Notamacropus eugenii: one gene and its partners. The protein of the gene in region 2 purifies or fractionates together with the protein of the main gene of each other region. This does not show direct contact. Links are inferred from orthologs where the notes say so. Each region holds a gene or a part of one and is shown on either strand. Other genes may lie near its edges. The genes, in order: CTDP1, POLR2B and GPN3.

The links.
Region 1: the proteins of POLR2B (region 2) and CTDP1 purify together in Homo sapiens (affinity purification with mass spectrometry; 3 studies listed by BioGRID and IntAct, with this or other methods). This does not show direct contact. The link is inferred for Notamacropus eugenii from reciprocal best matches to the Homo sapiens genes POLR2B and CTDP1.
Region 3: the proteins of POLR2B (region 2) and GPN3 purify together in Homo sapiens (co-immunoprecipitation; 3 studies listed by BioGRID and IntAct, counting the BioPlex papers as one, with this or other methods). This does not show direct contact. The link is inferred for Notamacropus eugenii from reciprocal best matches to the Homo sapiens genes POLR2B and GPN3.

Annotation. Positions count from the first base shown.
Region 1 is NC_092875.1:201,293,626-201,304,056, forward strand, and holds the start of CTDP1 (RNA polymerase II subunit A C-terminal domain phosphatase), read right to left. Parts: upstream 4,426-10,431; 5' UTR 4,295-4,425; coding exon 3,810-4,294; intron 1-3,809. UniProt on the Homo sapiens protein: Processively dephosphorylates 'Ser-2' and 'Ser-5' of the heptad repeats YSPTSPS in the C-terminal domain of the largest RNA polymerase II subunit. This promotes the activity of RNA polymerase II.
Region 2 is NC_092877.1:108,358,417-108,369,034, reverse strand, and holds the start of POLR2B (DNA-directed RNA polymerase II subunit RPB2), read right to left. Parts: upstream 4,987-10,618; 5' UTR 4,742-4,986; coding exon 4,723-4,741; intron 1-4,722. Other genes in the region: NOA1 (nitric oxide-associated protein 1), read left to right, coding at 5,365-6,667, 7,256-7,420, 8,543-8,745. UniProt on the Homo sapiens protein: Catalytic core component of RNA polymerase II (Pol II), a DNA-dependent RNA polymerase which synthesizes mRNA precursors and many functional non-coding RNAs using the four ribonucleoside triphosphates as substrates.
Region 3 is NC_092875.1:35,916,211-35,926,312, forward strand, and holds the start of GPN3 (GPN-loop GTPase 3), read left to right. Parts: upstream 1-5,107; 5' UTR 5,108-5,296; coding exon 5,297-5,344; intron 5,345-10,102. Other genes in the region: protein FAM216A, read right to left, coding at 4,301-4,383. UniProt on the Homo sapiens protein: Small GTPase required for proper localization of RNA polymerase II (RNAPII). May act at an RNAP assembly step prior to nuclear import.

The DNA of each region.
Region 1 (10,431 bases), on a different chromosome or scaffold from region 2:
TACACTTTCCTAAGTTGTCCTCCCAACTCAATAACTACAGTTTCCTTCACTGGCTTCTCATCCAGTCTTATCTGCCATGTGTCTATGAAGCAAAGCACTGCACTGGTAGAGAGGCTGGGGAAGGGTGTTGCTTGCTACTACTGTCCACAATAATCTTCTCATTCTCCCTAGACAATCTCATTCACTCACTAAGGGTTTTAAGGGATTCCTCCAATGCAGAGGATTCCCACATCTATTATCTCCAATCTTGCCCCTCTTCTAAGCACTGGACCTGAATATTCAGCCTATGGTATATCTCCCCCAGGATAGTCACCTCAACTCAAAACAACCAAAACTATTCTTATCATTTCTCCTAAACTTGCTTTTCCTTCTGACTTGCCTACTTCTCTTAATACTACTACCAGTCATAGGTCATCAACGTTCTAATAAACAACTTTTCAAAACTCTCTGATTCTTTCCTCTCTACTTCACATACCCAACTCACCATCAAGTCTAGTTAATTATACCTCTACAAGCTCTCTCATATCTATCTTCCTCCACCACCCTAATAACTATTGCCAGGACTATTGCAACAGCCTCTAAATAGGTCTTACCACTCTCTGTTTTCCAAAATGTCATTCAAGCAGCTGACAGACTAATCTTCCTTATGTGGTTATCTGGTCATGTCAGTATGTCGTATGCATTTCTCCAGGCAATCCCTCTCCCTATTACCTACTGAGCAAATTTCAAACTCCTCTAGCATCCAAACACCTCCAGGTCATCCACCACTGAGCTGCCAAAGACATCTTCATAAAGCAAAAGTCTGACCATGTCACTACCCTATTCAATAAACTCCACTGGTTCCCTGTTGCCTTCAGAGTCATAAATAGAAAATACTGTGAACTTCATAAACCTTTCTAGTTTCGTTATACCTTACTCTCCCAGTTTTCTCCATAATCTAGTTACTGCGGCTCTAGCCTCCTTGCTATGGATCACATATAAGATTCCATCTCTATTCCTCATTAGTTTTCACACATTCCTGGGCATCCTGGGCCTGGAATGCTCTCTTCTCCAGGATTCCATCGTTTCTTCCCATCTCACCTAAAATCCCATGATCTGCAATAAGGCTTTCCCTGTCCTCCTTAATGTTTATGACTTCCCTCTGGGATTATCTCCAATTAATCGTGTTTATATCTTGTTTGTAAAGAGCTGTTTGCAGGTTGTTCCTCCAATTAGTCTGTGAGCTCAGGTCCTGGCACACAGTAGGAGCTTAATAAATGTTTTCTGACTTATCTTGATTCCACAAGTGGAACCAATCTTCCCAGTCTTATTTCATATTACTTCCCTCCAAATACTCTATGATTAGGTCAAACCAGACTATTCTCTATACTCAAAAGGTATCCTGTACCTTTGCTTTTAGTATTCCTATGCCTGAAAAAGACCTCCCTTTCACCTCTTTGCCTATTTAGCCCAACTAAAATGTAAAAACTTTGGATCTTCACATTGATTTGCCATTCTTGTAATAGCAAATACTCACTGTATATTATATTTATTTGTGCATATTCTATCCTCCATTATTCTGAACTCCACAAAGGTTGGAAATGTCTTATCTAATATTCATATCTTGAATTGAAAGAATAAAAATATACCAAAAAAACTGACATTCCTGTTAAATGGCAGAAAAAAGAAGTGTCAACACAGACAGCGTGGTGTAATGTAAAAAGCACTGTTATCTGATGTTGAAACCTCTTCTCTTACATGTCCTTAGTTGTATGATCTTGGGCAAGTCACTTAACTTTCTTGGGTCAAAAGTTTCCTCATCTGTAAAAAGAAGGGACTAGACTTTGAGCTCCCTTCCAGGTCTAGATCTATGATGCCCTATTATTACACACATATAAGGAACAATAACAACAAACACTATGTAAGCAACCTTTAAGCTAAACCTAAGTTATCTTGGGTTGTAATTTCTTTAGTGTAGGGAACTGAAAGTGAAAGAAATCTCTCTACCAAAACAAATCAGCTACAGATCTGTAATTTGTAGAATTAGAGGGCTGTCTAGCATATTGAGGTTAATTGGCTAGGGCGGAAGGAGGAGAACAAAATGACCACACAGCCAGCAAATGTCAGAGCTGGAATTTGAACACAGTTCTGATTGACACTCAAGATAGCTTTCTACCCACCACACCATGCTTCCTCTAAGATCTTGTAAAAAGGTTAATTAATGATATTTTGACCAATTGCAAATAAGTGTACTATATAAAAAACTGACCACTCCTCCCACCACAAAATAAATAACATAATATACTTTAAACCCGGGGAATGAAATTAATTACAGGCCAATTTTCCTTAGAGCCACTGAACAGCAAAAAATAACCACAGTTCAAGAAATTGATGAAAGTAATCTACAATATGTTAGAAAAAAAAGTAGACATTTCTGCAGTGGAGTCTACCAGTTAAGTGAAATGACTATTTTTTTCACCTTTAATTATCTTATGATGACCCAATGACTCATTTTGGTCAAGTATATGATCACAGAGTTTGAAACAAACTAAGTACTGAGACAGGGTAGAAGTTTGGCTAGATTCAAAAGCTTGCTGTAATTTTGTACTCTAGAGAGCTCAGTCTCATACGTTCTTCTTAGCTATGATGCACAATTATATCATATTTTTATCACTTAGTTTCACAAGATTAGAGCGCAGGAAAAAAAAAAGAGACAGACAACACCAAATACCAGATCAATCTGAACAAGTTAGTATATTCAAACAATACCCAGCTATAGTTCAGATGTAGACATGTATACATATGTGTATATATTTAAACAGATGTATACATTATATACGTGTTTACTTCAGCATCATCATTTCCTGTTTTAATCTTAAAGTCAAACAAAATTTTAAAAAAGCAAGTGGAATAAATGTTTGGTTTTCTTAGAGACTGACTCCAACTCCCCCCAAATTTTTTGCACTGCAAAAATAACAACAACCACAGCTTTCTGGCTACATAAGAAAAAAAGACTTGTTAAAGAAGAAAATAAAATCAGATTTGGTTTAAAAAAAACCTTTTGTTTGTCCAGCTAGTAAGCAGCGATTTAAAGGAGAGGAGTCCAAAGTTGCAGAAAGTAGGATGGGAGTAGACCAAATAATCCATATTTCAAGGTGAAAGAGCTTTTCATTCCCTAAAGAAATGTCAATTGATAACTTAAGGCATCTCTGTCAGAGGTGTGCCTCAGAGACCTCACCGCCAAAAAGAACCCTGTAGCTATTCCTGAGAGGAGAAGCCTTATTTTAATCACATTATTTTCCCCTTTAAGCCCCCCTGTAGGGCAGCGGGTGGGGCGGGGAAAGAGCGAGGAAGAGAGAAGCTGAGATGCAGGAGAGCGCTGGGAACTCGCACCTGCCTCCTCCTCCTCGCACGCTCTCGGGTCGGTAAGGGGGTATACTATAATGCTCCAGGCGCCGAGCCCCCTCCCCCCGCCAGGTATCTGGGGTCGGGGGAGGGGGGGAAGGCAGGAGGAGGAGCAGAAGGACAGGGGCGAGCAGGACGGTCCCAGGACAGTCTACTTAGAGGCGACGGAAGTTCTCGGTTTTGAATAGTTTCTCCGCCTCCGCCCTCCAGGAAAAAAGAACGAAAACCCTTGGGCTGGGGCACAAGCCAGCTCCCTCCGTCTTCTTCCTCCTCCTCGGCAGGTCGGCCCGGTGCCCAGCGATGCCTGAGGCTTACGGGTGGGGAGGGGAGAGTCCCTGAGCCGGCCCCTATGGGGGGGAGGGAGGGGTGAAAAGGTCGGGGGAGGGGGAAACCGAGGGAGCGGAGTAACCCCCGCGGCCGCTTACCCCGGGGGGACCACCTGTCCCCGCTGCGCACACAGCTCCAGCACCACTCCGGCCCGCTCCGACTTCACCCTGCGCTCCGCCGCCCGCTGGGTCCGGCCGCAGCCGCCGGCCTCCGGGCAAGGCGAGGGCTCCCCGCGCTGGTTCCCGCACGGGTGGGGGCTGCCCTCGCCGCCGCCGCCCCCTTTCCCCTCTCCTTCCCCGGCTCTCCGGCGCGCACTGCAAGCCGGCAGCCCGCCCGCCTCGCCGCCGGCGGGAGGCACGATGGGGAGACACACAGCCAGCACCGTGCCGATCTGCACCGCTGTGCCGGCCGCCACCTTCCACTCCAGCAGCCTCAGCGGCCTGGGGCCCGGGCAGCGGATCTCCGTCACGGCCGCCGCCAGCGCCGCGGGGCCCTCGGCAGAGCGGGCCGGGGCTGGCCCCTTGGCGGTGGGGGCAGCTGCAGAGTCTCCGACGCCGCCGCTGGGGTCCGCCCGCGCCTCCATCCCCCTCCGGGCCGTGCGTCCGCCGGGCCCTCTCCCCTGCTCCAGCGCCGCCGCCTCTAGTGCCCGGGGGCCGGGGGCAGCACGGCGCGCGGGGCGGGTCGCTATGGCAACGCGCTTGCCGCCGGCTCGAGACCGGGAAGCGAACGGAGGAAGGCTAGCCCTCCCCCAAAGGGGGAGAGGAAAACAGCGACTTCAAGGGGAGGGAGGCGGAGTGGAAGGAGAGGTTAGAAAGGTGTGAGGAAAAAAGTAGTAACTGTTCCTTTAGGAGGGGGTTGGGGGGGAGGGAGGATGGAACACGGAGAGGAAAGGCAAAGTCGTACGCGTTTGCGTATTCAGGGCCCGGCTTCCATTTAAAGCCACAGTAACGCGGAAATCCCAGCGTCCCGGATGTGGGGCAGGGGCGGAGGTGGTTATTTCAGCTCTTCCCGCCCTCTGCTCGGCTAGTCACCTCGCCGCCAGTTCCCCCGGTCTATGACGACTTCCTGGAGAACGTAATGATCTCATGGAGGGGAGAGGGCGTGGTCAAAGGGGCGGCTTCTCACGTGCTTCCCTCAGACCGCGTGTTTGTCTGTGGGCGGGCGGCCTGCGTGTAAACACACGTACGCTCACACGCACACGGGAGGGAGGGCCACGGAGTCCCGAGACCCTGGGGAGAGGGAGTCCGCGTGAGCAACTGGTACCGGAAACGTCCGAGAAATAACCCTCACCGGGCACAAAACAGCGGAAGCGGTTGTACCAAAACCCTCGTGGTTATCCGCTTCATGTCTGAGCGCATGAGGACTACGAATCCCAGCATGCAACTGTCCCCCAGTGGTGTCTGTGGAAGCCGGGCTGGCGGACTACAGATCCTTGTTGAGTCTCCTTCTCGCAGTTGCATGCTGGGCCTTGTAGTCTCGTGGGGGAACGGGACCTCCCTACAAAAGCGGAGCAAGGAGAGTCCTTTGCGCTTGCGTATTCAAATACACTGGAAAATTTGTGGAAAGCCCTCCCACGGAAAGACATTGTAAAAGCATATACGGTCCCTTGTTATTCTTGATCTCTTATCGAAAGCTGCCTGGGAGTTAAACCAGAAATGGACTTTAAAACTTCAGGTTTGCGTTGGGAGGAATATCATGTTGTATGTGCCATTTTACTTGTCCCCAACTTAGGACCTTGCTAGGGAACTTCACTCAACCCTGATTCTAATGGGGCTATTGCCTAGACACTTAAACCTCTCCTTCCTCGGCCAAAAAGGTTGTACCATAGTTTCAGGAATTATTTACACTCTTACCCCTTCTGTTTTAGACCATTGGCGACTCCTTCTGTTCGTGGATCCACCCTTATCACAAAATAATGGGAAGCAGCCTCCTACTGAGTTCAGAAGCACGGGGGAGGGCCTAAAGACAACCAAATGTCCAATTTCAGTTGGGGGAAATGAATTAAAACTGCTAGGAACCAGGGCGCTGTGCTGGGGGCTAAGGGCGAAAACGCAAAGGAAACAGTCTGCCTTCTGTATGCTCAATCAGCCTGAAAACTTAAAGTCCATCCTGGCCGCGTCCGGTCGGAGCAAAATGCCTGGGTGGAGTTTTTTGGCAAACCTTCTGTTTTAGGCATTCTCAGGCCCTCCAGATCCTTTACTAAGTCGCTGTAGTGTCGGTTAGATCACTGTTAGTGATTTCTCTCTTTGAGTTAAAATGAGAACACGAGTTAGAAAGCACTTTCTGCACTCAGTCTAGTTCAAATGGCTAACAGCTAGGTGTAAGAGGTAGCACCTTAGTGAGAATTCCTTTATCCCTTGGCCTGGGGGAGGGAAGAAGCCAGGACATCTAGAGGGAGGGGGTATTGCTTTAAAGAAAAGTGCTGCAGAACAAGCTTTCCCCTGTTACAGTGTTGCTGGCACATGGCCCCTGAAACATTGTCGCCAGCCAAAGGCTCCTTCCCTGCCCTTCCCTACGCGTCTGCTCTCTGCATCACGAAAGGCAGAGGTGTCAAACTCGCCGGCCACGTGTGCCCAGCAAAGCTCTCGAGTGTTGGCGCGAACCAGCTTAAAACGTAACAAGTCAATGTTTAACCAAACGAATCAAAATACAGCATAAGTAAGGTCAGTTTGTGGTTTTGTCAATCAACATGCGGCCCCGCGGGGACCCGTTTTATTGGATTCTGACACCACAGATGTAAGGCACAGTTTTAAAATGTTCTCCCTTTGCTGCCCCTGCCCTCACACCTCTCCCTTTAGCGGAGAAGCTAGAAAAGAAAGCCCCTACCGCCTGGCATTTAGGCATGCCAGTTTAGCGACTCCCCATTCTTGGGACACCCAAACAAAAGTGAGTTTTCAGTACCTCCAGAGGGCCCTCTTGCAAGGGGCTCTTCTCATCGCAGAATGCAGGAGACACCCTAGACTGCCAACTGCCAGCCACAACAGCCACCCCTGGGCTGCCTGGGGCTGTGGAACCTTCTAGGGTTCTTCTGGCCTTGATGTTCCAGTCCCACCTCTTGCTCTAAAAATGTCCCCCCTGCCGCACCTGACCCAGCCGAAACAACTGCTGGTCCTGGCCCCTAAGGAGCTTGAAGTCAAGGCGTGGGAGACAAATCCGAAACAAAAAGTTAAGGGGTGTGAGGTGGAACGGAGATGGAGAGCATGGGGTGTCTTCAAGCAAGTATTAAGGATACCTCAGAATTAGACACTGTTTCTCAACTGTGGACCAGACAGACTCATGAAATATTTTTACCTGGTAAACAAAATTTTTACAACCAAAGGTTTTTGCTCCGTGAAATTGATAAACTTTAAAAACCTATTTCTTTTACTTACTGTTTCCACCAGCTCTGGTTTTATCCTCCCCCTGCAGTTCTTAAACTGCAGTTAATGAACTTCATATGTGTATGTCTACACACACACATATACATACACACACATATACATGGATACACACATGTGTGCATTATGTAGGTTACATATATGCTTTTGTATGTATATAAACACACATGTATAGGTATATTAATAACTAAATTTCAATGTAATTGGCTTCCTTTATAATGCCATATATTTTATTTTAAAATATTCTGAAGAGTCCAAAGGTTTCAGAAGATTGCTAAAGGGTCTATGACACAAAAAGAGGCTAAGAACCCCTTTTCCTCCCCACTTCCAGTCAGTGAGAACCATCCACACTAAGTCACAAGTAAAGAATATTGATATTTTAGCATTCTACAAGAGAGCAGCATACCTTGGTTTGGGAAACAATGAAACAGCCTCTTCTCCAAAAATCTTCCGGAAAGTTAGTGATTGTCAGCTATAAGGCCCTAAAAGCCAAGAGGCCTTTGGTACTTTGTTCTTGGGAATCAACACCTTGCTCCAAGTGTCTGTGCGTAGTGAAGAAACATTCTTGCTGTCCTCACTACCATAAAAGCTTGTTGATTCAACCTTTATGACTGTGAACCATTATTTAGGAACTGGTGGGGAAATCAGGCCCATTGTTTTCACATCCTCAATAAAGTAGGGAAAGCCAGTATTACTGGTAGCTTTGTGAAGTGTCAGACTCGAAAAGGGCACTTAATTATCTTTATAACCTAGACTCTACCCCAAATTAAAATCTGCTCAAATTTATAGAAAATAAGCCATAAATTGAATCTTGATGATATCTTAATGCCTTCTTGGAGCCTGCCAAGTTTCATCAAATCTTAAATTACTTATAAGTGTATCCTTGAACAGGAAGACAAAAATAGAAAAGGCTAAGCAATAAGGTTAAAATGCAGGCAAATGTCCACCATTTTATAAATGAGGAAACTGAGCATCAGGAAATTTGTGACTTGTCCGAGGTGATATGGTTAGCAAAGGACAGAGGTAAGATTTGGGTTCTTCTGGCATGAAGAAACAGGGGCCAAGGAAGGTAATGTATTCACTATAAACTAGTGGGTGAATCAGAACATTCAATTAAGACATTTTTTAAACACCTACTATATGCCAGGCTCTGTCCTGGGTTCTGGAGAAATAGAGAGAAAAATGAAATAGTCCCTCAAGTAACTCACTTTCTACTGGAGGAAAACATCCACTTATGTAAGTAAATACAAATTAACATGCTGGGTAGACCCAGAAATATTGGTGGATGGCTGGATGGGATGTGCTGGAAGAACTAATTGTTAAATTTTCAGTGTTAGCATTTACCCTGTTAGATACCAGTAAACCTTAAAAACCAGCACTTGATATATTGTTTTGTTGATTGTCTAGAGGGGAGAGAGTGATGGAGAAAATGTAGACTGGCCTTAAAATGTATTAACTTGCTTTGGACAGCTTGTTGTTAAAAAAAAATTACCAGAACACCACTGAATGTGAAGTATGGTCTGGGCTCAGCTAGATATAGTAAAGTCATGAGTTTTCACCCACTCACCCACCAACTGGAACACCTCAGGCCCACCCAGTTCAGAATATTAAAATGATGTGGATAGATGGTGATACCCTTAATAAAAATAGGAAAGGGAGGGTTGGGAGAGGGGGAGGGGATGAGTTCTGTTTTGGACATATTGAGGTTAAGATGTTGATGGTATCCATTTGAAAATATCTATTAGATAACTGGTCATGCAGGATTGTTGCTCAAGAGAAAGACCAGGACTGGTTATATAGATCTGGAAAATCGTCTGTAGAGATCTGATCATTTACTCCAAGGAAAAAAGAAAGGAAGGAAGGAAGGAAGGAAGGAAGATGGGAAGGAAGGAAAGAGGGAAGGGAGGAAGAAGGGAAGGAAGGAAGAAATTACTAAGTTCTTTTTACTTTAAATATTTCTCCCCCTATTGCCTCTAGATACTCTGTTTGGCTTTGAAAGTCCTTAATTTCCTGGCCCCTTCCTATCTTTTCAGTCTTCTTATACCTTATTTCTCCCCCTCTACACACGGACTTTGCAATCCAATGACACCGTCCTCCTTGCTGTTTCTAGCACATGGGATACCATCTCCCATCTCTATGTATTTTCACTGGTTGTCCCCCTTTGTAATATTCTCCCTACTTTTTTCTGCCTCCTGGCTTCCTTCAAGTCTTGGCTAAAATACCACTTTCCAGAAGAAACCTTTCCTAGGTCTCCTTAATCATAGTGTTTTTCTTCTGAGATTAGCTCCAATTTATCCTGTATATATCTTATTTATATATTTGCACATTTGCATGTTGCCTCCCCCATTGCAGTATGAGTACTTTGAAGGCAGGGATTTGATTTTTACTATTGGCTAAGCATTTCATTAAGCACTAGGGATACAATTAGAAAAATTGAGATGGTATCAGCTTTCAAGGAGCTTGTACTAAGGGAGCAACAAAGTCCAGGGGTCTTTAGATTATATAAATAGATTATATAAGTAGATCAGATGACAGTGCTAAAGGACTCAAAAACATAGAGGAAGAGTAGATGGTAAGACCCAGTGATGTCCCATATCATCTAAAGGAATAGAGCTGTTCACTTCACTCTCAAGGGAGAATGGGTCACCCAGTGGTGACAGGTCTTCCCTCTGCCTGGATGGATTTTGGGATGGACACAGGGTTTGGGGGAGGAGCCAACAGGGGAAAGGCAAGGGTGGTAGTAGTGGATCTTCCTTGCCCTGAGTTCCTGTGTGGGATCTGAGAGATAGGTTGGAAAGAAAGAAAAGGAGACGAGAGAAGGCAAGAGAAGATCAAACAAGAATGGAGAAGTTAAATCCCAGGACAGAGCTTTAGAGAGTTTTCCAGCAGCAGGGAATTGAGGATGGATTATGTTTCAGCAAAGAGCACTGAGAAAGAGCAGAGAGGTGGAAGGAGAATAAAGGAAAAAAAATCATAACCCAGGGAAAAGAGAGTGTCTAGGATGAGAGGTTGCTTAGTAGTGTCACATATACAGAGAGGTCAAGAAGGTTGAGTTCTGAGGAAAGGCCATTGGATTACATGAGTATCCCCAGAACCTTGCAGAGTGCCTTGGCTCACTAATATTTAATAAATTCTTATTAGCAGTCATTTATTTCCTCCCATCCTATCCTTGTCTTCAATATCTCTAAATAAGCTCCTTCTCGGCAACCTACAATAAATATGCTGAGGTCTTCCGTTATTTGAAGAATAAACCACTTAATTCTACCATCCCTTTAAGGTCCCTTCTCCTTTGTCTCACAGTTAAAATCATAGAAAAAGCTGTCTACCATGTGATCCTTGGATT
Region 2 (10,618 bases):
AAATGCTATGAGCAGTATCACTCACAAAACAGCGTAAAGAAAACGAGCCTTCAGAAAACATCTCAACTTCCAAGATGCAGCAATACTAAACGGTCCTAAAGCAATGTCCCTCTCTGATCTTTGTGTAGAAGGCACTGTGGCTACAAAGCCAAACAGCCCACGGTCTCAAATCAACTTGGTATACATGTTGCCTGTGGAAATACACAGACACCAAAGATAGAGTGCTGAGGTTAAGGAGCAGCAAGCAGATCTGTTTTGATAGAATACAGCATCTTGTTGAAGAATGAAATAGTACTGAAAAAGAAGGTAAGATCCAGATAGTAAATGTTTTACACAGCAGACTAAAGTTTGTATTTTGTCTTAGAGACAACAGGGAACCACAAAAACTTTTTGAGCAGAGGACTGAAATGATTAGATTTATAAAGACGATTTTGTTAAGTTAGTTATATAGAGGGATGATGGGAGAAACTGGGAAAAGAGAAACTAATTTGGAAGCAATTGCAAAAGTGTAGTTAGGACCTATGTGTTTTTTGGCAAGTCACTTAACTTTTCTGAGTCTCAGTTTCCTCATTTGTAAAAATAAAGGACTTGGACCAGATGACCTTGAAGAGGCCCTTCCAGCTCTATGATATTATGATTTCCAAAACACAAAATGAAGCAGAAATGCAGCCATTTTTTAACTTCGACAACAGTGGAATATGATATTTAAACCCACCACATTAATACTCAATGTAGTATTTGAATAAGTGGTAATGATACTTTAAAAAAAGGTTAAGTCAGGAAAACGTGCTAGACTTAATTTCATATACAAAAGAAATCTGTGCTGATTCTTTATCTCTTGGAAAAAAACATTCAAAAAGAATGAAAAACATTACAATGATTACACAACCTGAAGAAAAGTTTTAAAGATAACATCAATCATTGTGTGAAAATAGTATATACTTTCCTGAATGAAAAGTTCTCATGCAAAACATTATTTTCTACAGTACACCTTTAATGTTACACAATTCAGATTACCTTTTCCATTACATCTTTAAGGTCATACAACTAATGAAAAAGTGTAGAAAACTTTAAGGCTCTATTGTGTTACTGATTTAAAAGAAAATTTTGCCTAAGTTATACCAAAGGTAGCACAAAGGCCCTCCTCAGAAAGGTGTCTCCCATGTGTATATTAAATCACACATGAATATACGATCAATGTAACTAAGGATAACATTACTCAATAAGCCACTAAATGGCAAAATCAAATGAAGTACTGAAAATCAAGAAAATCAAACTGATTCACTTTTGTAATTGATTTCATTCTGTATCACTACCAACATTTTGTGTAACTACCTAAGCCACATTTCATTTGAGTCTGAGTTAAGTTTGGAAGTTCAGCTTTCCTATAAATCACTCACTATCTCTGAGTTAAGGTTAGAAGTTCAGCTTTCCTGCTAATCAAATCACTGTTCTATTCTTATGTCAAGGATAATAATTATCTTTGAAGGATGAAGGTGGATGCCAGGGAGTCTGGTCTATTACCTCTATAGCACTGGCTGTCCTTCAAAAAAGTCTGGTTTGTTATCACTGTGAAACCAATTAGCCATACAAGTGGACACCACCAATGAACTTTCCTTAGCAACGCTATGAAAGGAAGGGTTTTTGCATTCCAAATTTACAGCATTTAACATTGTTTTCACTATGATGTTGCCAGTCTTCTAGTTTTTGGAGGCTCCTCCTTTTGTCCATAAAAATTTTATCAGCCCTCGTTCAAGGTCTTAGCTAACTGAAAAGGTTGAGCCTTTGTTTACTGGAAAATTCACGCTTTGCTAATAAGTTGAGTGTGCTTGGTGCTTTGTGGCTCAGTTTACCTTAATTTTAATCAAGAAAGTATAACATAAGGAGACATGTTCGCCTAACATGCTCAAAAGTATCACGAAAGATGTCTTGCAGAGTGAAAATATAAAGATTTCATGTTAATGACAACGTTATCCCAGAGGTGTGAGGAGGAATGGTGATTAGGATAGGGAGAAAGACTAGTAAAAAAAAAAACCAAAAACTAGCTTTAAATTTCAAATCAATAATACTAGGGCTTCTGGGAAGGGTATGTAAAATGACTCCCTAATCAATCAATTCACAATTCCTGTGACTCCCTTCCATGGACATCAGTCCCCTATATGTGTTATCATCCCCTATTAGAATATAAGACCAGTAACTACAGGGTCTTTCTCAGATTTTTGAATTTATATTCACAGATCTTGCCACAGTATTAGCACACATTAAACACTAAATGCTTTTTCATTAATCAAAGTTTTGTGGTAAGATGGCCTTGCTATCTATCCTGCTGCTACATCTTCCGAACTCCTTGGTGACTCTAATCTGACCTGCTGGAGCAGCCTAAGCACCCCAGGCTTTGCCATCATCCATCTGCTGATGCACCTTTGGGACTTCTTGGCCCTTCCAATCACCCCAAAGCTGAATTTGCAGATGTGTTATCTACCCCAAATAAAGTTTAAATTCCTTGAGAACAGGGTCTGCCTCATTATTTCTATCTATATCCCCAATTCTTAAGATATAACAATTCCTTTTTTCTTCTTTCATGCATTTGCAAAATACCAAGAAGGGAGAATGAGGGTAGGTAAGCACAATGGTAACAAAGCTAAATGATGAGATCAGATGAGAAAGAACTGGAAAAGAAATTAATACCTATCAACCGAGGAATGGCTAAAAAATTACACACATGAAGAGAACAAAATGACTGAACCTTTTATAAAAGACAAAATACAAATTCAGAGGATGGGAAGACATGTAAAATGGCGTTGTGTGCATCAAGCAGAACCAGGAAAACAAAGTACAGCACTGTGAAAATACAAAAAGGACAAAAAAACCTCAAGTGAATGTTGTTCAAGAATGATGTTCCTAAAAATATTTGAGCAATTTTCTCTGATAATGGTCTCATTTCTCAAATATATAGAGAACTGAATCAAATCTACAAGAACATAAGTCATTCCCCATTTGATAAATGGTCGAAGGATATGAACAGGCAGTTTTCAGATGAAGAAATCAAAGCTATCGATAGTCACACAAAAGAAGTGCTCTAAATCACTGTTAACTAGAGAAAGGCAAATTAAAACTCTTGAGATACTGGTTCACATCTATCAGATTAGTTAATATGACAGAAAAGGAAAATGACAAAATGCTGGTAGGGAGGTCAGAAAACTGGGACACCGCTGCACTGCTGGTGGCATCGTGAACTTTTTCAAACATTCTGGAAAGCAATTTGGAACTATGCCCAAAGGGTCATAAAACTGTGCATATCTTTTGACCCAGTAATAGATCTACTAGGTTTGCATACCAAAGATGTTATTTTTAATAATGGAAAAGGACATATATGTACAAAAACACTTACAGCAGCTCTTTTTATGGTGGCAAAGAATTGGAAATCGAGGGGTTACCCCACAACTGAGGAATGGTTGAACAAGCTGTGGTATATGAATGTGATGGAATATTGTACTGCAATAAACGATGTGCAGAATGCTTTCAGAAAAACTTGGACTTATGAGAACTGATGGAAAGCGGATGAAGTGAGCAAAACCAGAACTCTGTACACAGTAACAGCAATACTGAATGATGATAAATCGTGAATGGCTTAGCTATTCCCATCAATTTAAAAATCCAAGACAATTCTGAAGGACTTTGGATGAAAAATCCTATCCACCTCCAGAGAAAGAACTGAGTCTGAAAGCAGACTGAAATACATTATTTTTTACTTTATTTTTTTGTGGGGAGGGGAGGTCTGTATTTTCTTTCATTACATAAATGTTATGAAAATGTTTTGCATTACTGTACATAACACATACATACATTTCAAACATAACCACATATAACACATAGAGGTTAAACCTATATAACCTATATCAAACTGCTTGCTGTCTTGGGGAGGGGAGAGGAGTGGGAGGGAGAGAATTTGAAACTCCAAATCTTAAAAACTAATGTTAAAAATTTTACATGTAATTGGGGGAAAATTTTTTTTTAAAACGCATGATGTTCCTAGTTCTGTAGACTTCTATCTGGAAGGAACGTTAGAATCCATCTTATCCTACCCCTTCATTTTACAGAAAAGGCAACTTAATATAGAAACGTGAGAAGACCCTAAAAAGAGGTGAAAAAATTCACCTATTTCCTTCAATTAGTGGGGAACTAGGGGTGGAGAATTCTGTCTATACAGTCAAACAAAGCGTTCGATCTGCTGAATCGCTTTTTAAAACCTGTTACAAGGAATGTCTCGCTGGGTAACGAAGGGATGGGACGATACCCAGGGACGAATGTAAAGTTAAAAAAAAAAAAGGAATTCATTAATAAAATTAAGATGACAACTAAAAACGCGAGGGAGGAGCAGACAGGTTAGGAAACCTTAGGCTGGGCTCTAGGGTAACGACACCTAAGGACCATCATTCAGGGACGAATGCAAAGTAAAACAAAGATGCATTAATAAAATCAAAGTGACCACTAAAGGCAAAACGGGAGGGTGCGTCACGTTAGGAGACACGAGGCTGGCCTCTCGCGTAACAGACCCACAAGCACCAGGACCGCCAGCTCTATTCACTAAGTATCATGGACCTCAGGGCTGCCCGGGCCTCAACGTTACAAGTGGCATCCTGGAGAAGGTGGGTAACTAAAAGAATACAAAACACCCCTCCTCGGCCCTGTCCGGGAGGAGCTCTTAACTGGGCCTCTTACCCTCGTCCGCGTCGTACATCTTGACAAATAATTCTCAATATTCCTCCCAAATTAAGGAACAGAAAAGAGCAGACGACGCAGCCACAGACCAGCAAACTCGAGAGAGCTTGAGTTTCCGGCGTTCCCGGCACTCTTTGCGGCTCGATCCAGCTCCTCAGCTCCGAAACCTTCCGGTTCCCGCTCCGACTTCCGCTCAGCCAGAGGTCGAGCGCGCCGCGTCCTGTGGTGGCGCTGAGCAGAGTGGGCGGGCCGTTTCGCCTTCCCACTGCGCATGCGGCCTGCGGAGGAGGCGGGGCTACGTAGGGGCTGGCTTGCGCGCGGGCTGGATTCGCGCCTCCAGCAACCTAGCGTGCTTTAGATGGAAAGAATGTATCTAGGTCTGCCGAGGTGTCTGGGGGCAGGAGGCCTAAAGCCGGGAGGAAAGTGACTTTAGGCCTGTTGCTTCAGCAGGAAGGAATGAGAGATTGAAATGCTAATGCTTAGGTGGCGATATTGTAAGCGCTTTGGGGACCTGAGGATAGAAGCGAAAAACCACGAATTTAACTTAACCTGGAACCTACATTGATCCATTTTACATGCGCTTTTATGAATTTTTTATTCTAATTTTTGCTTTTAATTTTATTAAATTTTACCCCTACGTTCATGGCCAGCCATGATTTTCAAACTGAAGAAAGGTTAATACGTGAGAGCGCCTTTTCCCCAGCGGAGGACGGAGGGGGGCGATCAGTCCCTCCCGAGCCACCGTACGGGGCGGTGTCGCGGCCACGTGCCCGCCCCGCCCCTCCCGGCGCCTCCGTCCCCATGCTTCCCGGGAGCTGCTCGTGCCGGCTGCTGCGCCTGTGGCGCCGAGGGGCCGCGCCTCTCTTCACGTGCCATGGCGCGCCCGGGTCGCGGCCCCCCGCGGGCCGGCCGGCCGCCTCCTCTGTCTTCTCCGCGGTGCGGCGGCAGCAGGACCAGGAAGCGAGAAGAGGAAGGGGGGTGCCGGCCGCGGGGACGATGGTGGACCCGAGCCGGCTGGAGGAGACCTTCGTGTTCCCGGAGTACGTCCCCGAGGCGGACCCCGACGTCGAGCCGTCCGTGTCGGCCGAACTGCGGCGGAGGCAGGAGGAGGAGGAGCGGGAGCAGCTGCTGCGGGACGAGCGGCGGCTGGCGCAGCAGCGGAAGAAGACGCGGGAGAAGGGGCTGCGCCCGGTGTTCGGGAGCCCCGACCCCGCGGTGCCGGCCAGCGGCGTGAGCTGCTCGGGCTGCGGGGCGGAGCTGCACTGCCAGGACCCCGCCGTGCCGGGCTACCTGCCCAGCGAGAAGTACCGCAGCCTGGAGGCGCGGGCCGAGGCGGGCGGGCTGGCCCGGGCCGTGTGTCAGCGCTGCTGGCTCCTGGTGCACCACCAGCGGGCCCTGCGGGTGCGCGTGAGCCGGGAGCGCTACCGAGAGCTGGTGCACGCCGCGCTGCGGCGCCCGGGGCCGGCCCTCGTGCTCTACGTGGTGGACGTGCTCGACCTGCCCGACCCCCTGCTGCCGGACCTGCCCGCACTGCTCGGGCCCAAGCAGCTGATCGTGCTGGGCAACAAGGTGGACCTGCTGCCCGCCGACGGCCCGGGCTACCTGCGGAGGCTCCGGGAGCGTCTGTGGGACGAATGCGCCCGAGCCGGCCTGCAGCCGGCGCCCAGGAAGGCGAAGAGGACGGGGGCCGGGGCTCCGGGGGCCGGGCCGGCCAGGCCGGGCTGTGTGGTCCAGGACGTGCTGCTTCTCAGCGCCAAGACGGGCTACGGGGTGGAGGAGATGATCTCGGCGCTGCAGCGCTCCTGGCGCTACCGGGGCGACGTCTACCTGGTGGGCTCCACCAACGCCGGCAAGTCCACGCTCTTCAACGCGCTCCTGCACTCGGACTACTGCATCGCCAAGGGCGCCGACGCCATCGACCGGGCCACCATCTCCCCCTGGCCGGGTGAGCCCCGGCGGGAAGCCTCCCGCACGCTCTGCCCCCCCGCTCGGCCTCCATGTCCTTGCTTTGTGTGTGTGCACGTTGTCTTCCCCGTCAGACTGAGCTCCCGGAGCGCGGACGCCGTCTCTTGCCTCTTTGTTACCCCTAGCTCCTAGCACGGTGCCTGACACGCAGCCTAAGCTTATTGAACGTTGGTTGAAGCGAATTGAAGCTTCCTCCCCACCCCCATCCCGCCCTTGCTGTCCAGGTGCTTCCTCGTCTGCCCACGAGGAGGTGTCCGGGACCATCCTGGTGAACTCCAGCTTTTCTCCGCTCAACCCCTTTTGGGTCCTGGGGTCCTTACTCCTCTTTAAGGTTTCTTGACTGGTTTCATGCATCCCCACGAGGCAAGACAGAGCCCATGTTTTCAGGGTCTTAATGTACCCTCCCTGTCTTCCCTAGCCAGTATGACGAATGCTTGGAGTCACCAAGCACTGGGAAAAGGGAAGACAGGCAGCTTTTTGTTTCTGTTTTTATTAAGACTGCACGAAAATACATTGCATTTTATTTTCTTCATCACAGTTAAAATTTACACGTGCTTTGATCTTTCAGGAACAACCTTAAATCTCCTGAAATTTCCTATTAGCAACCCTACTCCTTACAGAATGTTTGAAAGGAACAGGAGACTTAAAGAAGAAGCAGCTAAAAGTGAAGATGACCTTACTGAGCAAGAGCAGAAGCATCTTAGTCAGATGAAAAAGCAGGGTTATTTAGTCGGTGAGTACCCGAACAGACCGTGGACTAACCACCTTTCAGATCCTGTGCCCTGGAACATGAAATCAGAACCCAGGATGATCCGGACAACCTCTACCTATTCTGAGACCCAGTGCTGTAGTTAAAACTACTGTTTAAAAGCGCACCTGGGCAAGACATTCAGAAAAACAGGAGAATTTGTTTCTGGTTTCTTGAGGGGAGTGGGCGTGGCATAGTAGGGTTGTCAGTTGAATCAGTTGCCTTGCCAAGAAGTAAAAATTGTCATTTCCAGGTTGTGCCCAAATACTGACTCAGATTCCTTTTCCTGCTATCGGTGATGCTGCCAAGTTATGCTGAGAGCTGTTGTGTTTCTGATCCTTCATTGCTACTCAGTCTCAGTTTGAATTCTTATATATGCAACTGCACATAAAATATTAATGTTTATGCTGACTTCTCAATTCCTTTAACGCTTTCCTCTGCCACCTACTGACTCTGGATGTCCCTTCCAGCTCTAAATCTGTGATTCTATGCTAAATTCATTTATCATCCTGTAGTACTGATGCCATATGCTGCCAAACTCCTGCATAGTACTATTTTCTATCTAGAGCTAAAAAGGGATTTAGTCTGACCTCCTCATTTTACAGATGAAGAAAAATAGATCCAGGGAAGAGATTAAATGGCTTGCCCTAAAGTATCCACCTACCTGTCATTATTTCTGTGACTTAGTCCCTGTGTCTGTGTGTTCGTCCTTTGTTGCCGAAGAAGACCGTGCCATCAGAGAAATAATGACATGACTTGCACTTGACTTTGTTTTGAATGAAGGAGGGCTGTGCAGGTCACCAGCCTCACTTTTCCTCCAGAGCCATATGAATCCAGTGACCAGACATTCATCAGGATGACTGGAGATGACCCAGGATGAGGCAATTAGGGTTAAGTGACTTGCCCAAAGTCACAGCTAGTGAGTGTCAAGTGTCTGAGGTGAGATTTGAACTCAGGTCGTCCTGACACCTGCACTGGTGCTCAATCGGCTGCACCACCTAGCTGCCCCTTGTCCCTTTGTAGAAACTGAATGGAATGCACATGTATAAAAGGTAAAAATTCAAACATTTTAAAGATCAATAACTTCAAACTACTCTCTTGTTGTAGGAAGAGTTGGAAAAACATTCTGTTATTCAAAAAATGATGAACCTACTTTCGAGTTTGATGCTGATTCACTCGCATTTGACATGGAGAATGAGCCTCCGAGAATAATACACGATGCACCCACTATGCATGTTGAATTGACACCTCAAGAAGTGAAAGATGTTCACTGGTTTTATGATACCCCTGGAATTGTAAAAGAAAATTGCGTATGTATTTTGTTTCATTTAGAAGGGGTCAAAAACAGTGAGACTTCTGTCTAAGCTAGCAAAAATGAATTTGAGGGAAAATGTTGGGCAAAAAACCCTTACCTTTGGACTTAGTTCCACCAGGTATTATAGAATATGCAAATGTGGTTTTCTCCCCACAGGCAAGTAACTCTGAACCTGGAATTCCCAGTGAACATCTCACTTATACATTTAGGGGGATGGTGTGAGTCAAGGGGAGGATATATATTATATATACATATTATATATTATGTTTTCCCTTTTTGGAAGGAAAACTAGGCAGAAATAGCGCTAAATAATATCAAATATTTGATGGTGTTGGATGTCAGCATAAAATAAAAAAGTAATCATTGTATATCGATATGGGAGGGGGTGTGTAGAGAGAATTGGTAGAAAGACTATAGCAACTACTATGTGTCAAACACTGGTAAACCCCTTAAAAAATATTCTTTCATTTGATCCTCACAACAAGGTGGTAAGGTAGGTACTGTTATTATCCCCATTTTACAGTTGAAGAAACTAAGTTAAAGGTTAAGAGACTTGCTGAGAGTCACTTGGCTAGTAAATGTCTGAGGACAGATTTGAACTCTTCCTGACTCCGAAGCCCAGTGTTCTATCTACCAAGCCACCTAGCTGTATAGATTTTCATTATGTACCAGATAGTGATGTAAATCATCCTTTTATCTGTGAATCCATAACTTGCGCCATGAAGTTAGTTGGTAATGGCAGAATGAATTTATTTTTGTTTATCAAGTCTGTCAAGATGTTTGACTTTAAGTCATGGAATTCTAAAGCTGAAAGGGGCTTTTAGAGGTAAGAGAGTCTCAGCTTCAGAAACTCAGTGGATTATCTCTCCCTACTTTCACTTTGACACTGCCCTTCAACTCTCCCTTCCCTACTTCCCACCTCCCCTCCCCTATCAGTCTAGGAAACATTTCCTGGGAAATGACCATCATGCGAGCTAGCTTTTAAAATGTTAAATTTGTGGGGGAGGGGGGGTTAATGATGATGCATTCTTTCAGTTATTAAAGGACTACTCTGTTTAGAGCACTCTACTAGGTAGTGTAATTGCTACTAGAATAGCTTATGTTGAGCATTTTAAGGATTACAAAGTGCTTTGTTCACCATTTTGTGAGGTCATTTCAAACCTGCACTATAAAATAGGATCAGATTTTACGTGATTTACATTTTGGACTCACCAGTGGTTTACAAACTGTGTTCTGAGAACCACCATCCTCGTAGTTATATCAAAGGAAAGACTATTAAAAAAAAATTTTTTTTAATACCTAGACTTAAATCAGAAGTCTTGTCAATCTAGTACTTCAAAACTTTCAACCTAACTAACTTGTAAGAGAAAGAGGTAGCTCTGTACTGATGAAAGATGCTAAAAGCATGGGAATTATTCTCTTATGTTCCAAATATAATAGATCTCTTAAAAGTTAGAACCATCAGAAAATTTAGATTTATTTTTAGTGTTCAGCATTTACTTTTATAAGATTTTGAATCCTAAATTTCCTCTTTTCTTCCTTCCCCCATCCCCAAGATGGTATGCAATTTGATATAGGCTATACATGTATAATCATACTAAACATATTTCCACATTAGTCATTTTGTGAAACAAGAATCAGAACAAAAGGGAAAACTACAAGAAAGAAGAAGAAAATAATATGATTCGATACGCATTCAGACTCCATAGTTATTTGGATGTAGATAGCACTTAACATCATGAGCCCTTTGGAGGTGTCTTGAATTCTCGCATTGATAAGAAGACATAAGTCTATCAAAGTTATTCTTAATACAATATGACTGTTATTGTGTACAGTGTTCCCTTATTTCTGCTCGTTTTACTCAGCAT
Region 3 (10,102 bases), on a different chromosome or scaffold from region 2:
TGAATAGATGTTGTTGATTCCCTGAAAGATTTACAAACACAACAGGTTTGTGGGGCAGACAGTTTAAGTATCAGTGCCATTAAAGATATAAAAGGAGCTTAAGCGCAGAGAGTTCACACAGACCCAAAGCCGGGGAAGTATCCAAGGCCTTTCCCCCTTCGCCCTTCCCCCTCCATCACAGCTGCTGCTTAAGGCAAAGGCTGCTGTGGTGTCCGAGTCTTTGTGACCCCTTTTGGGAGTTTCTTGCAGAGATACTGGAGTGGTTTGTCATTTCCTTCTCCAGTTCATTTGAGGCAAACAGGGTGAAGTGACTTGTCCAAGGTCACACAGCTAGTATGTGTCTGAGGCTGGGTTTGAACTCAGGAAGATGGGTCATTTTTTAACAATTAGTCATTTAGGTGTAGGATAGACTTTTGATTATTTTGTAAGGATGCTCTGAACAGCAACTCTAGCATTAGGGTGATTCAGAAATGACAAGTTAAAGTAGTTAGGCAATTTTTTATTTTATTAGGGAAGGCACTATTAAGTGGGAGTATTACTAGAAAGTGATTTTTGACCTTAAAGAAAACATAATATGCTTTTCTAAAAATTAACAGTTGAGTTAGGACAGCTGGGAACTTTTATACCGATTTCCTCCTTGAAAAATTAGCTGAGTGCCTAAGACAACGATCTCCTACCATCATTCCCACCCTGTTCTCTCTAAATTCAATCAGTACTTAGTGAGCTCCTTCACCCCACCCTTCTACCCCTCAAGAATGTGAAATAAGGCATTTTTTGGAGATTTAAAAAATGCAGAGAATGGAAAAAAATGTCTGTCACAACTATGGTTAGAGAAAGTATTCATAACCAAACAAGGTAAACAGAAATTACATAAGACAAAATGGATAATTTTGATTGTATAAGGTTTGAAAGCTTTTGCACAAACAATACAACTTAAATAAGAAAAATTTAATGTGAAAAAATGTCTTTGCACCAACCATCTCTGATTTTATACCCAAGATGTATAGGGGAGGCATGTAAATATATAAGACCTTGTATGTGAATTTTATATATGTAATTATACATATGTACTGTTATAAGTCATAAAAACACATATATAATAATTCTTTAATATATAAATTGTCAATGGATATGAATGGTTATTAGAAGAAGAAATGAAAACTGTTAACAACTATATGAAAAAATGCTCCAAATTAAATGTTAAAGAAATTAAAATTCAAACATGGACCAGAGTCTCACTGCTGACTCTCTAGACTCCCTTATCTATGGTGCTAGAACATCCTTCTCACCTTGGCACGATTTCCCACCAGCTCTACTGCCTTCTGGTTCCCTGGAGGATCCCACTCTGCTCCTGTGGCCCTGTCCTCAGTTGGGTGGTTTTAACTGAAGACAGGTACTCTCTTTCTGCTTCTATATTCCCAGCACTTAGCCCAGTGCCTAGCATACAGGACACACTTAGGAGATGTTTGTGCACGTACTGGCCAATTTCACTTCCTATTCATCATAATAGATACAGGTAGAAAATACTGGAGGAAGTATGAGATGACAGGTCCAGGTGGAGCTGTACATTGACCTAGCTGTTCTGGAAAACAACTTGGAATTAGGCAAAAAGAAAACAAAAAGTCACCAAGCTGTTCAGAATGTTTGACCTAGCAATCTTCTATTTGTTATGTATCTCAAAGAAAATCAGAGAAAGGAAAGTCCCAAAAGAAATATTGCTGTGCTAATATTCACAGCAGTATTTTCAGAGTCTCAATACAGATCTAAAGAAAGTAAAACCCATTGGTAAATGGCTGAACAAATTGTGGCACGAGAATGTAACAGACTATTACTGCCCCATATATAATGACAAATATGGGGATTGAGAGAGATATGACTTCCTTATTAGAACTGTATAAGTTGATACAGAGTGAAGAAAGCAGAACCAGGAGAACAGTATGCCTAATGACTACAAAAAAGGAAATGAACAAACGCCAAGACATCAAAATTCGTATTAAATGCAACAACCAATCGTGGTTCCAGAAGATGAATGATGAAACTAACACATTTCTCTCTTCTGAGCAAAGAAGATGTTGTGTAAAGGGTAAAAAACAGTCACTTTGTGAGTTGGGTTTGTGGAATTGCTCTTATTTTAAGGGAGAAGGTATCAATAAAATTTTAAAAAGAAAAAAATACCTATAGACCTTGGAATGTGGAATTTTCTGATGTTACAAATGTTTGCATTTACTTCTAAGTTATATTAAAAATGTATTCCTTTACATTCATAGGTTCAGGCAACTATGGAGAATGTTCCACGGAGGGTCCGAATGGAGGAGGGACCACCAGATTCTACTGTTTGTGGATAACACTGTCCTAATTATATCAAAGCCTAGAACTGTAAAATAAAATGAAAAGACAAAGAAAAACAAAACAACCTCCCCACAAAGATCCATAATAACTCAGAAGAGGTCAACATAATAATCTATAGAGGAAAAAACAAACAGATGAAAAATGGCTATCGTCCAAACTGTGACATGCAGTTAGATGGCGTAGAGATGGATTGTGAGTTGGGCCCGGAGGTTCAAGCTTCTACTATAGTGCATTAAAAGGGGAATTGTTCTTTTATTATTATTATTTGTATCCCAGTGCTTGACATATTAAATCCTTGTTGAATCACTAGATTGAATTACATTTTGAAAATTCCAGTTTCTTAAGGATCCCAAGCTGTTCTCTCACACACACATATACATGCTCTCTCTCTCTCTCTCTCTCTCTCTCTCTCTCTCTCTCTCTCTCTCTCTCTCTCTCACACACACACACACACACACACACACACACACACACACACATACCCCTTTCTTTTTAGAAACACAAATGTTCTCTCTGAACCAAAGAGTGGTGAATCTTGGAACACAACAACCTCTAATGAATCATAGTGGTTGATGACTCCAAGGACAATGGAGAAGACAAAGAGTAGGCTAAGTCAGTTACATTAGGATATATGCGTAAGAAGTGACATAAAGAATATACTCTAGGAAAAATATAATCAGAAAAGGAAATGGGCTAGCTATGTCCTGAGAGTGAGGCATGGACAACTCCGAATTGCCAGCAAAGAAAAGTATATTTTTAAAAAGGCCTAGAGGAAGACCTCCTGTCCAGTGGATGGATCCTCAGTCAGTCAATAAGCATCCATTAAGCAAATCTATGGAAGAGTATAGGATGTAGAACAATCGGTTGATGGGATGTTATCTTTAACAACAGAAATAATACTAATGTCACTGAGGTATCAGCTCTAATTAAGCACTGACATATTATACAGTTTCACTACAGCTGTACCTAGGGACCTGAAGGGCAACCTACTCTAACCTTCTCCGTGACTATGTGAGCCTATGAATATAAAGGAATAAATTTCAATGTGATTTTAAACAAATGCAAATACATTTAACACCCGAAAATTCCACATTCCATCACCCAAAGGTGTTTTTTATTTTTTATTTGTAGGTATTTTTCTTCTTCTTAAAGTTCTATATTTGTCTTTTGTTTTTAATCTCAGTGACTTCTTTGTAAGGATGAGGACCCACCCCCCCTCCCCAGAAGTCTTGTCTGTCCCTACACTGAGCTACCTGGAGAGCTTAAAGGCATAAACCTTCGGTTTGCCAGGGGAAAGATCCCAGGGGATGGAATCAGGAGTCAACTAAAAGTAGCCCTTTCCCTCATTCAACAAACTTATTAAATGAATGAATAAAATATAATTAAAAGCTATTTCAAAAAGAATTTATTTTTTATTATCTCATCTCTCACACAAGGATTTTCCTCATTTTCAAGAAGGCAAAAGAAATACACAATCTGATGTCACACAGCCCACCCCAGGGACCAGAACCCAGGCGTCTCGCCTCCCAGGCTATTGTCTTGAGCGCCTGAGGTTTTCTATGCCGCTCTTATAGAAGCTGACCATCCCTGCCTATTTTTCTGTGGAAAATGTAGCCTGGTGACCCAGCGCCCCCTCGGGGTAGAAGCCTCCACCGTGGCACCCACCCAGGTGAGTCACTGCACCAAACGCCTGTGCGGCTGCTGGGAACCTTTCCCCAGCCCCAGGCCCCCGCCCCCGTCTGACTGTGAGTCAGTCCTTTCCCCATCCTCCCCAGCAGCAAGGGATGCTCGTCCACCCTCTGCAAGAATCCTCTCCTCCCTCTTCGCCCGTGGCTTATCCATGCGTGGCCAACGGCCCTCTACACCACGCCCCGCCCGGGGCCGAGGAGAGGGACACGGACTGGCCCCCGTCCCATCTCTCGGTGCAAGCCTGCGGGGCCCCGAGCCTTACCCGCTGCTCCCGGCTGCAGCGGACAGCTCGGACCCTCCGCCATCCTCCTTCACCCAGAGAGGCGTCTGCATCTGGCCCGGCATCTTCTCCGAGGGGGCCTCAAAGGCGACGTCCAGTGCAGGGAGGGAGGGAGGGAAACTTCCCCCTCTCCTCCTCCGGGTTTCAGGGTGCGTGCGTCAGGCCGGGGAGGTGTTGGGCGGACAGGGCGCTGAGCCTCCACCCCGACCACCTGCTTGTCTGGATCCTTCCCTCCCTCCCACTCTTCCTGGGGCTCCCGCTGGCTGGGCTCTGGAGGGGCAGGGGGGACGCTGGTCAGGCGCGGAACGCTGGCGAGGGGCACGTTGGCATCTTTCGGGGCTGAGGACGCCCCGTAAACGGGAGGAGCGCGCGCATCCTAAGCAGGAGATGACGCCCGGTGCATACTGAGCACGGACGTGTGGGCACGCCTCTTTACGGGATCCCTTAGCTGGAAATATGATAATTATTACTACTATTATAATTGTATTTTAAAACATTTAAAAACCTCCCAGCTGAGCTCTCTGTTCAGAACATCACCCCAAATAGCAATGCCCAGGATCTGCCGGAAGCCTGGCTAGGCGGTGGTTCCGCCGCAGCCCCAGGCAGGGATGCGCTCCCGCCCCTTCTGCAGGTGGATGGATGGATGGGTTGGTACAGAGTCAAGCTTTGTGCCTGGATCCATCCTCGTCCATTCTGCGCCTGCGTGCCTGGCGAGCCGCTAGGCAAACCCAAATTGACCTCAGCGTCGTTTCTTACTCTTTAGGAAGCATGGCCCTCTTGAAGACCCATAGCAGGAGGCGGGGTTGTGTATGCTAGAATGGGGAGGGGAGAGAGGGCCGGCCCTCGGTTTCGATTGGCCCTCCCGCCCTCCGGAAGTCGAGTCGCGGACTGTGCGCCCTCAGAAGTTGCCGGGACGCTCTTGGCGTGTTTCTTCTTCTTAGGCTCCGTCGGTAGCCGCTGGGGCCCACGAGGGTCAGTATGCCTCGGTACGCGCAGCTGGTGATGGGCCCCGCCGGCAGCGGAAAGGTCAGTGTTGGCAGGAGGCTGTTGGAAACGGGGTGGAAACTCTAAGATCCCCTGGAATGCTGGGAGCCTTAAGATGGGGACACAAGCCACACAGAAGCTACAGCCGCCCCCAGACTCGAGGGGAGGAGGGGATGCCTGGGAATCTAGCCACCTAGCTGCCCCTCAGTGTAGCTAATCCTTTGATGGAGGTAGAGGCATCAAACCATAATACCCAACCTGTTGTTTTGACCAGGACTGGTTCAGAAACTGCCCTCTTAGTGTTCTAGGGAACGCAAATATAAACATTAGAGAACCCGAGATAATATTAAACTCAGTGAGCTCTTATTAGACCCCTGCTGTATGCTAGGCACTTAGTAGGGGCAGGGTGGCACAGCCGACCTCGAGGGTGGGAGGACGTGGATTCGAGTCCTTGCTTTCTGGCCCAGGCTGGTTGTGGAATCCTGGGCCAGTCGCCTCTCTACCGAGGTGGAGGGCACGACCGCCCTGGGAGTTCCAGCCCCACGCTATCCCTAACCAATTCAATAATCGATCCATCGATCGACTTTTATTAAGTTCCAAGTATATGACAGGCACTGTGCTAAGCACCAGAATGCTAGAGACCCTGGAGATATCAAAGAAGGCTGGTTCGCTAACATCAATACGAGATAGATACTCTCCTAGCTGTGTGACCATGGGCAGATCACTTCCCTTCTGTTGTAAAATTGGGGTCCAAATAGCTACCTAGACCATATGGTTGTTGTGAGGCTTAAGTGAGATGAAACCATAGATGGAATCTTAAAACACCCAGGGAAGGTCAGTTACTGCCCTGTACTAGGGGGGCCTTCCCGTTGGATGAAACCTACCTGGGGTTTGTTTTTGGTGGGGACAGACAGCCCTGGAGACGCTGAAGGCACTAACCAGTTTCTACTACCTAAAGATTTTTCATGCTAAGGTCAGAGCAACAGAAATTTAGGGCTGGAAGTGACCTTAGTCCAACCCTTTCGTTTTTCGGAAAATGTTGAGACCAGGACAATTATAAGTGACTTGTCCACACCAAGAGGCAGAATTTGAACCTAGGGTCTTCTGACTTCAATTCCAGTTCTCTCTTTTGCTGCACTGCTCTCTTGTTGGAAGGACCTCAGTTCCAAACCTGGCTTTGCTACTTACAGGCTCCCAACCTAGGAGTCATTCTGGATTCCCATTCTCTCATCCCCCATATCCCCCATATCCAAGCTATTACCATAGTTTGCTGGTTTTACCATTGCAGCATCTCTTGTCCATTTCACCTTGGTAGCATCTCTAGTTGATTTCACCTTTGCAACAGCTCTGGTCAGTTTCAGCTTTATAGCATCTCTTGTCCATTTCACCTTTGCAATATTTCTGATTGACTTCACCTTTGCAGCATCTTTCAAATATACCTCCTTTTCTCTTCTGACCCTGCCATCCCCCTAATGCAGGCTCTCATCACCTCATATCTGGACTATGGCAATAGCTGCTTTGGGGGTCTGCCTGCTTCCAATCTATCCTCCACTTAGCTGTCAAAGTGATCTTCCTAAAGTACAGGTCTTGTATGTCACCACTTGCCCTGGTACAGGCTTTCATCACCTCACACATGGACTGTTGCAGTAGCTACTGGTGGGTCTGCCTACCTAAGGCCTCTCTTCATTCCAATTCATCCTCCATTTTGCCACCACTAAAGTGATTTTCCTAAAATTCAGATCTGATCATGTCATCTTCCTATTCAATAAATTCTTGAGAGTTCCTTTTGCCTCCAGGATCACAGTATCCTCTGCTTGGCCTTCAAAACCTACTCCCTAATTATATTATGAACAGCTGGTCCAGCCTATGAATGAATCCAAAAAAGTCTGGACCTTTATGCTCACACTTTTGCCAGAGAGCCCTGTCAGACCAGACAGCATCCTGTCCAAGTTTTGTGCTATCATCTTGTGTAATTCATTGGGGAAAAAGAAAAAGAAAGAGAAAGTTGCAGATAATCTAAAATATTTTCTGCTAAACGAAACACCTGTGGCATCAAAGTTTATCTCATTAAAGAACAGAAAGTTGATTTGTTGCAGCTTTCCAGACATACAATTCACAGATGTTTCTAGGTGAAGAGGTATTGTGTTCAGAATATCAGAATCTGAGTTAAGCAAATGGCCTTCACCAACATGAATGAATGTGCAACCCAAGATCAAATAATAGGATGAGCCAGGTGACCAATAGTAGCGCTGAACTTAGAGCTTTCTACTAGAATATGGCAGAGCCTTTCCCCTGTCCAACAAAATAAAACACAGTAAAATTTTAAAAATTCATTGCAGATAAAGGGAATGAACTAGAGGTGGAAGCCCTTCTTCCACTCTCAGCATCTTAGGAGAATTCACCTATAGAAACACTTGTGGAAATAGATGTAGACGAATAGTGTGGGAATTAATCAGAATGGGAAAGTTAAAATTACCCGTGTTACTGACCTCAGTGTAGATGGGTGTTCATCTTTCGTTGCCAAAGAAGACCATGCCATCAGAGAAATAATGACATAACTTGCACTTGACTTTGTTTCGAGTGAGGGAGGGCTGTGCAGGTCACCAGTCTCACTTTCTCCTCCCAAGTTATCTGGATCCAGTGACCAGATATTCATCAGGATGAGGCAGTTGGGGTTAAATGACTTGCCCAAGGTCACACAGCTAGTGAGTGTCAAGCGTCTGAAGTGAGATTTGAACTCAGGTCCTCCTGACTCCTGCACTGGTGCTCTATCCACTGCACCACCTAGCTGCCCCTCAGTGTAGCTAATCCTTTGATGGAGGTAGAGGCATCAAAGCATAATACCCAACCTGTTGTTTTGAGTAATTTTAGTTTTACTGCTGATTTACCATTCTCCAGATAGTAATGTTGAAATGGAACAGGTAAACTGCTATATTTATGCTCATCATTTAATATTTAGTGATTGACAATTCTATGTACTCTACAGCTTTCTGTGCATCTATTATCTGCCGAGATACCTTGTTTATTTGTAACAATTACTTTGAAGGAACTTCATGCATTTCCATTCTTCAGTTGTAAAAAGTTAAAGAAATTTTATATCTGAAGAAATCATCCATCATTAAGAACTAGCTTAAGACCACATTCTCAATGGGGAGCTTCCTGAGAAGTAGACCTAAAGTCAGCATCATAGGGCATTTGAGTTGATCAGAATTTGCTAGACTGTTTGTTAAGTGACACCTGGACAAAGGGAGTTTAAGAGCCGGTCCTGGAGTGGAAACAGTGTTAACACTGAAGGTTCATTTGTGAGCCTGACAACTGCTTTAGAAGATGTCCATAAATGAGAGCTATTCTCTTCCACTAAACGTTGCTAAAATATTGAATTAGCTACTCCATTGCAACTTAGGTGGAATCTTTTCATCCTAACTTGGATCCATTGAAGAGGATATCACAACTAATACTTCTGAGCAAGCTGAGGCTTTGACATCAGATTTAATAATAGTTCTCAATTAAGATAGTCAAAACCTATTGACAGAAGTGCCTAAAATCAGGAAATCCTATATCCTGAAGTTACAGTCTTCCTTCACAGACTAGAGAAGCTCTGTTCTTTCACTGTTTTTCTTCCTACAGACAGTGACTGGAGTCTTACTCTTTGGTGTGCTTCTGGGGCTTTTCACTGAGTTTGTGGAAGTATAAACCTTGTTTTTTTTCTTATTTTTGTTAGCAAAGAACATCATAGTTCCTAAACAACAGTAGAAAAGATGAACCTGACTTGTCCTCATTCCTTTGACATGTAAATGTGAAGTATGTGTATACAGGCATATGTGCATATATGAATATATATATGTAAAATCTACATAGAGATAAAACATGTTGAAATAGAATTTTCAAAAGCTTTTTAAAAAATTTTGGCCAAAGTAATTCATGATCTCTGGGTGATTTCATTGCTGAGCCCCCTCATATCTTACTAGTTTCTTACACCTTACTTTCCAACATGGCCTCTTGGTTGCAGTGACACTGGCCTCCTGACTTTTCCTCAGATAAGACACTCCATTCTCTCCTTCAGTTCCAGCCAAAATCTCATCTTTCTGCAAAAAACCTTTCTCAAGCCTAATTTCTCCCTCTAATAATTACTTCCTGCTTATCCTGTAAATAGCTTATTTGTACATTTTTGTTTTCCTGTTGTCTCCCCAGTTAGACTGTAAGCTCCTGGAGGGTAGGGACTGTCTTTTCCGTCTTTTTGTATCTCCAACACTTAGCACAGTGCCTGGCACACAGTAGGCGCTTAATAAATGTTTATTGACTGCTGCACACTTCATTTTCCTGGACCCCAGCATGTTCGTCTATAAAATTGAAGGTTTAGGTGGATGATCTCCAGTCTCTTTCAGCTCTGGATCGTGTGTGATCCTGTCATTTTGAAACCCATTTCATCTTTTGTGTTCGCAGTAGTGAATAGTAGTCTGGACAGTCCGCATTTAAGTGTTTCCTGTATGCTGGGTACCCAGAGGTACAAAGACAATGATCAGTCCATCCACAAATATTTATTAAATAATTACCGTGTGCTGAGCACGAGGGGCACAAAGATGACCATCTATGCACAAGCATTTGTTCAGTGTCTCCTGTATTTCATGGGCTTCTGGGAAATGCTGGAAAATACAAACACAAACATGGGCCAGGTCCTGTCCTCGGGAGACCAGGGAAACAGCATGTAACCAGCCCAGTGCACACATGACTGTTCAGGAAGCAGTTATCAAGCGTTTAGACTGTCTTAGACGTTAATGTTCAGAGATGCTATCCTGCACC